2 linked regions of the Saccharomyces cerevisiae S288C genome follow. Changing the gene in region 1 together with any one later gene gives a genetic interaction. Each region holds a gene or a part of one and is shown in the gene's direction. Other genes may lie near its edges.

Region 1 (4,286 bases):
GGCAGGATGTTCAATCGAAGGCAGATTCTGTGGAAAGAGAAACTTTCAAATACGTTGAGAAGTCTTACAAGGACTACATTCATTCTGGTTTGGAACTTGACGAGGGAAACCGATTGAAAATCAAAGAGATCAAAAAGAAGATCTCCGTTAACTCTATTAATTTTTCGAAGAATCTGGGAGAACAAAAGGAATACATCACTTTCACCAAAGAACAATTGGAAGGTGTGCCGGATTCTATTTTGACGCAGTTCGAGACAATAAAATCTGACAAAGATAGCAATGAAACCTTGTATAAAGTCACCTTCAAATATCCGGACATTTTTCCCGTGATGAAATTGGCATCCTCAGCTCAGACTAGAAAGCAGGCCTTTTTGGCCGACCAAAATAAGGTCCCTGAAAATGAAGCTATACTGTTGGATACATTGAAGCTGCGTGACGAATTGGCCTCGTTATTGGGCTATGACACGTATGCGAACTACAACCTGTATGATAAAATGGCTGAAGATAGCACTACGGTAATGAACTTTTTGAATGATTTGAAGGACAAGCTAATTCCGCTGGGCAGAAAGGAACTACAGGTCTTGCAAGATATGAAAGCCGAAGATGTTAAGAAACTTAACCAGGGTGCAGATCCAAACTACTACATTTGGGACCACCGTTACTACGATAACAAATATTTGTTAGAAAACTTCAATGTGGACCTAGAAAAGATTTCTGAATATTTTCCACTAGAGGCTACGATTACTGGTATGCTGGAAATATACGAAACATTGTTTAATTTGAAGTTTATCGAGACGAAAGATTCTCAAAACAAATCTGTTTGGCATGACGACGTCAAACAAATCGCCGTTTGGAATATGGATGATCCAAAGTCTCCAAACTTTGTTGGTTGGATTTATTTCGATTTACATCCTCGTGATGGTAAATATGGCCACGCTGCCAATTTTGGTTTATCGTCATCATTCATGATTGATGACACCACAAGATCGTATCCGGTTACTGCGTTGGTTTGCAATTTCTCCAAATCTACGAAGGATAAACCTTCTCTACTGAAGCATAACGAAATAGTGACCTTTTTCCATGAATTGGGCCATGGTATCCATGACCTGGTGGGACAAAACAAGGAATCGAGGTTTAATGGCCCCGGATCTGTTCCATGGGATTTTGTGGAGGCACCTTCCCAAATGTTAGAATTTTGGACTTGGAATAAGAATGAATTAATCAACCTCTCATCACATTACAAAACGGGCGAAAAAATTCCAGAATCTTTGATCAATTCATTGATCAAAACTAAACACGTAAATGGTGCTTTATTCACTCTAAGACAATTACATTTTGGGTTATTTGATATGAAAGTACATACTTGTAAAGACTTGCAAAACCTGTCAATTTGCGATACCTGGAACCAATTGAGACAGGATATTTCTTTGATTTCTAATGGTGGTACGTTATCCAAGGGTTATGATTCATTTGGCCATATAATGTCAGACTCTTACTCTGCCGGTTATTACGGTTATCTATGGGCGGAAGTCTTTGCAACTGATATGTATCACACCAAATTCGCTAAGGATCCGTTAAATGCCAAGAATGGGATACAATACCGTGATATTGTGTTGGCTCGTGGTGGCCTTTATGATATTAATGATAATCTGAAAGAATTTTTGGGTAGGGAACCTTCTAAGGATGCTTTCTTGAAGGAGCTGGGCTTACAGAACTAAATTCGTTCAAGCATAAAATTATACAATTATTCTACAAAGTGTTATTATGTTAGATAATCTTTTAAATAACCTCGTCCCTGGATAGATTAAAACCATTAAATAGCTCAAATCTTGGAGTAAAGCAGCAGTAATATGTCTGATATGTTCGTTATATTTTTTCTTGAAGTTTATCAACTTATCCTTTACTAGACCATTTCCCTCCCCATCCAATCGTTGATCGATTTTAAATTTCACCTTGCATAATTTTATTAATTTCCATACACATTTTATCACTGAAATGCACGAGTAACACAGCCAAACTTTCCGTAATAGCCCACTTACATATAACTTATCGTTGACCACGCCTAGGTTTTCCAATACTGCGAAGAAATCAAGCAGCGAACTTACACCACTCCATATATTCTCCCATATATCTTTTGCACTGATTTCAGCCGTATTTTTCTTCGAAACCATTCAACTTTCTTTTCTTCTTCCTTTACTTTTATTCATCTCCTCTTTACTTCTTACCTCAGAGTCGAACATTGAAATCATTTCCCGCGAATTTTTCGATTATAATTACCCTTTCTACTTAACAAGAAGCAATAAGAGCAAAGGGGCGAAATGCTTGTCCCATACTTTGGCTTTTGGATGTGACATTAGGAGCCTTATCTCCTCTTAATGCCTTAAGTCAAAAAATAGTTTTTGGGATATATCTTGTGATCAAATGCTTTGCAAAAGGGTAAAACAGCGTTTACAATAGGATAGCCAAAAGTAAAAAAAAAAAAAAAAAAAAAAAGAAGGAAGTTAGTATCGAGCTCAAACAATTTTAGTTTTGCTGGACATATTTTCAGTTTCATTACTGTATATTTGCAGCTTGGTTTTTGTCGCTCTGTAGTCTTGTTTCACACTTCGTCATTTCCGAGTTTCATCTTGCGACATAACTTGTTTCAACTTTTCAAGTGCGACTTTTTGTTAAATATTATGACATAGAAGAAAGTAGAACAGCCATTATAAAACAAAAGAGAAGTGAGAATACTATTAAGATGGCATTCCAAGATCCAACTTACGACCAGAATAAAAGCAGACACATCAACAACAGTCACTTGCAAGGGCCAAACCAGGAAACAATAGAAATGAAATCTAAACACGTATCATTCAAACCCTCTAGAGACTTCCATACAAACGATTACTCGAATAACTACATTCATGGGAAGTCGCTACCGCAACAGCATGTTACTAATATTGAGAATAGGGTTGATGGCTATCCAAAACTTCAGAAATTATTTCAGGCGAAAGCTAAACAAATAAATCAATTTGCCACTACGCCATTTGGGTGTAAAATCGGAATAGATTCCATTGTTCCAACGTTGAATCACTGGATACAGAACGAAAATTTGACTTTCGACGTGGTGATGATTGGCTGCTTAACAGAAAATCAGTTTATTTACCCAATTTTAACCCAATTGCCATTGGATAGATTGATCTCCAAACCAGGTTTCCTGTTCATCTGGGCCAATTCTCAAAAAATCAATGAACTTACTAAACTTTTGAATAATGAAATATGGGCTAAAAAGTTTAGAAGAAGTGAAGAATTGGTTTTTGTTCCTATTGACAAGAAATCACCGTTTTATCCAGGTTTAGATCAGGACGATGAAACGTTGATGGAAAAAATGCAATGGCACTGTTGGATGTGTATCACAGGTACAGTAAGGAGGTCTACAGATGGACATCTTATTCATTGTAACGTAGACACTGACTTGAGTATCGAAACGAAGGACACCACTAATGGTGCTGTACCATCCCATTTGTATCGTATTGCAGAAAACTTCTCTACCGCGACTAGACGATTACATATTATTCCTGCAAGGACTGGTTACGAGACACCCGTCAAAGTAAGACCTGGCTGGGTTATAGTGAGCCCAGATGTTATGTTGGATAACTTCTCACCCAAGAGATATAAAGAAGAGATAGCTAATTTAGGTTCGAATATCCCATTAAAAAATGAGATTGAGCTGTTAAGACCAAGAAGTCCAGTACAAAAAGCACAATAAAGCATCAACACATAAATCCTTGCTTAGCTCAATTAAATATACTAGTAAATAAGTATATAAACAATAATTTTGCATTTTATTTTACTGGAAACTCTTCTCAAAACCAAATTGCGCAAGGATTGATTCAGTACAATTATGCAAACTCGAAAAGTAAATAAACAAAAAGATACAGTTGAGTGAAAGGTAAATAAACATTATTCTACTTGATTTTCCTCTGTTTTTTCCATTTTTCTTTTTTGTCTTTTCGTGTTCTAGCGTGTTCACTTTTTCAGCCATGTAATTACTTAAATAGGAAGTTTACACGATGTTCTCGCATAAAAAGCTGGAAGTGCAGAACAAAGAGGAAGAAAATAGGAACAGAGAATTTGTTTGTTTATTTGTTTGTTTGCTTGTTTGTTTGTTTGTTTTGATTTGAAGTCGAGGTACTTATTCGAAATAATTATTTTGCCCAGGGTTTTGGATAGTTTTTTGTTTTCCAATTAGATTTTTAGAAATATTTTATCATAGTTTTTTGTTTATTTATTTGTTTATTTATTTG
Region 2 (3,715 bases), on another chromosome or scaffold:
TGTATATTATCTAGAAGAAGGTAAAAATAAAGATGAATAAATATTGACCGACGCCAGAGATTTGGAATGTGAATAGAGCGATTCTTCGAAAGAGATGAAAGGACGATAAAACATTTTTGATAAAAGATAATGTGTAGATAACATTGGATACACTAGCTTCTCCTCATCGATTTTAGTTTTTTGGCCCAAGCATACTTAATTGACTTTGTGATTCCAGCTGTGAAAACACCTTTAATAGTTTGTAATGCACTTGATTTACTAATACGGCTGAGCAAAAGTCTCTGAGTATTCTTTAATGTGAACCCTTTTGGAAGATAAAATGAATCATTTAGGACCACTTCTTTGTAAATCGGCTTGTAATACTCTTGAAATCTTTCAAAGTTTTTGGTAACAATGTTGTTAACTTTGTCGGGATTTTCTCCACCCAGTTTGTATCTAATATCACCTGCATAACTTAAGGCAGTGATCTCCTTGTAAAATTGGAATTCGTCAAACTTATTGTTATTTTTCTCTAAGGTGTAATGTTTGGCCAAAGTAGCTGCAGCTTTTAAGTTTAATTGGTTCCAATATTGCACTCTCAAATCATTCTTCAATATTTTTACAGGCTTTTGTAGTCGTCCTGCTAAATAGAATGTATTCCAAGTAGCTATGTCCTTTAAAAGTGTTTCCATAGAAACCACCCCATATTTTACGTCGTGTCCATTTATATTTGCAAATGGATTAAAATATACGCCTGCGCCGATCTGTTGAAATTTAGACACGAACTCGGAACCGAAGTATTTCAAACTTGAATAATGTTGCGGATTCTGCCTCATATTAATAGAGTGAAAATGTGATGGATATGTGACGCCCAAGATTATATCGATTTGAGGTTTGCTATGACTTTTGGAATATCCCGCTTGTTCGAAAACTCCTGAGCCGTAACCAAATACAAACCGGCACGGAGCTTTGAAGGATGACATTACCCCATCCAGTTCCTTTTGAAGTTCCTTATCGATAGTAATGAGCTGGTTACTTCCATAGTTGGGGGGCAATCTGTGAAACTTGTACATATAATTTGTAAAATTGGAAGTCATTTCGTCAGTTTTTCTTATACCTTTTTCCAAGAGGTCCAGATCACTGCCTTTAGTAATTCCCTCGATGTAGTGATTCGGCCTTTCGTTAATAGTTCCATCGGGGATAATGCCAGCATCATCTATGGAACTTCTCCCCTCCTTTATTTGAGTACTCAGAAGCCTATTAAACATGCTTACGTTCGTTGAATGGCATTTCAGCAGAAACCGTAGACCATTTTCAGAAACTCGTAACATAACTTCAGGATATATCAAAGTAAAAAGCAGCTCCTATTAATTCAAATTATTAGCTCAATCCTATAGCAACGTTTCTCAAGTTTAATTGTTTTGAAGGTTTTAGAACCTTTTTCACATTATTTAGTCCGTCGAAACATCTACTCTTTACTATTTATGGCTAAACAGGCTGAAGGGTATGATTTCTTTTCTTTTCTTTATTCATGTCGGGTAAGAGAAGGTCACTTGACCTATGATGTGGGGGCAAATAATAACGTGGGAATAACAAGCGCGCTACTGGTAAGTGAAAAACTAAGATAACAGTTGAATTTCGTGTTTAGATGCTATAGAGAGTCTGGTACAGCATTGGCGATTTAAGACTTCTCTAGTCCACATTTCTTAAATTCAAAATCACAAGCGCCTGTTAACGATCATTTTATAATCTACGATGTGTAAATGCAAAAAGTGCTTTCCTCCCTCTTTAGTTTGGACAGGGATAGTGGGTAAACGAGTAGCATTATGAGTGCATACATTGCCAGAAAGAAACCGCAAAGCGGCATATCTTTTTTCTTCTTTCTGTTGTAAGGGATGCTTCGTCACGTAAAATGGCCGCCGGAGTGAGATGTCACAGATTACATCAAAAGGTCGGCGTATACTGGATAAGAAAATCCGAACTTTTCCGGTGGGCTTTACCAGCAGAAAAGTGGCCGGGCATGTATTAAATATATCACCGTATTTTCTGCTGGCTTTTTCTTATGCAGAGAACAAAGGCCAGAGTGCCTTCGAGGAAATTAAAGGGAGCAATGTGATAGATATGTCCTGTGTCATTTGCTTCAATTTTTCCTGCCATTTATTTGTAGTTATATTTATATCTAGATCAACCGAAACTATACCAACGACGAAGCTGCTTCTTAGTAAATATATTTTCTACTGTGTCAACGCATTGGAACTGACATTGTTCTTATCCTATAAGTCATACAGTTGAATTTGTTAATTCTTTACTAGAAGTTGGGATTTTCAGCACTTATGTCACCGTGTTATGGACAAAACAGTGCCATCGCCAAGGGGTCTTGGAACAGAGAGGTTTTACAAGAGGTGCAACCGATTTATCATTGGCACGATTTCGGGCAAAACATGAAAGAATATTCGGCATCACCCTTAGAGGGGGATTCCAGCCTGCCTTCCAGCCTGCCTTCCAGCACTGAGGACTGTTTACTACTATCATTAGAAAACACAATCACAGTTATAGCCGGAAATCAGAGACAGGCTTATGACTCTACGTCGTCTACTGAGGAAGGTACAGCACCTCAATTACGGCCGGATGAAATAGCGGACAGTACACACTGTATCACGTCATTAGTTGATCCGGAGTTCAGAGATCTTATTAATTATGGACGTCAAAAAGGAGCAAATCCTGTATTTATTGAGAGCAATACAACAGAACAATCCCATTCACAGTGTATTCTAGGCTATCCCCAAAAATCGCACGTGGCACAGCTATATCACGACCCCAAAGTACTCAGCACAATTTCCGAAGGGCAAACAAAAAGAGGAAGTTACCACTGTTCTCATTGTTCTGAAAAGTTCGCAACGTTAGTTGAGTTTGCCGCGCACTTAGACGAATTCAACCTTGAAAGACCGTGTAAGTGTCCCATAGAGCAATGTCCCTGGAAAATATTGGGTTTCCAACAAGCAACTGGTCTGAGAAGACATTGTGCTTCCCAACATATAGGAGAGCTTGATATAGAGATGGAGAAATCATTAAATCTAAAAGTAGAAAAATATCCAGGACTGAATTGCCCATTTCCTATCTGTCAGAAAACGTTTAGGCGCAAAGACGCCTATAAGAGACATGTGGCCATGGTGCATAACAACGCTGATTCAAGATTTAACAAGCGTTTGAAGAAAATTTTGAACAATACCAAATAGTTGAGGCATTAAAAATGTACCCCATGAAACTCTTGTTAAATTTGTGCAGGCATGAAAGCTACTGTATTTTTTCTTAAAGTAATAAAAATAAAACACAATGATATTAAAGAAAACGCATGCAACTATGGACACTTGCTATGTCGTGAATATGGCACCACGTTGGTTACTTAGCTAAATAAAAAATCGTAAGTACTCGCATTTTTTCTTCTATATTCACTTTGCTTCTTTGGACAGTTATTTCAATAATAAATATTTCTTTTTTTCTAATCTCCCTTATCACCTAAGAGGAAAAAGTTTGAAAATAAACTTATGGCTAGAGGTTATTTGGTATTCCGAGAAAACATTTGAAACTAGGAAGTTTACATATCAGTGCAATTATGTTTCCTTCGATGATTCACGTACCCTCAAAGTCAGTACCATAAAATTGAAAATAAGACAGGTGTTTTTTTTTTTTTTTTTAATCATACAAGAATTCAACCACTTAAGTAGGATATTAGCGC

The links. A genetic interaction does not mean that the proteins touch.
Region 2: of KAR4 (region 1) and RME1, changing one suppresses a phenotype caused by changing the other (phenotypic suppression), as found in Saccharomyces cerevisiae (one study listed by BioGRID).

The regions. Positions count from the first base shown.
Region 1 is NC_001135.5:25,189-29,474, forward strand, and holds KAR4 (Kar4p), read left to right. Parts: upstream 1-2,740; coding exon 2,741-3,748; downstream 3,749-4,286. Other genes in the region: PRD1 (metalloendopeptidase), read left to right, coding at 1-1,718; PEX34 (Pex34p), read right to left, coding at 1,737-2,171. UniProt on the Saccharomyces cerevisiae protein: Component of the MIS complex, a complex that mediates N6-methyladenosine (m6A) methylation of meiotic mRNAs and is required for initiation of meiosis, progression through the meiotic divisions and sporulation.
Region 2 is NC_001139.9:582,490-586,204, reverse strand, and holds RME1 (Rme1p), read left to right. Parts: upstream 1-2,312; coding exon 2,313-3,215; downstream 3,216-3,715. Other genes in the region: TAM41 (putative phosphatidate cytidylyltransferase), read right to left, coding at 153-1,310; YGR045C (uncharacterized protein), read left to right, coding at 1,909-2,271. UniProt on the Saccharomyces cerevisiae protein: Involved in the control of meiosis. Represses the transcription of the IME1 gene thereby inhibiting cells from entering meiosis. But also activates the CLN2 gene thus promoting mitosis.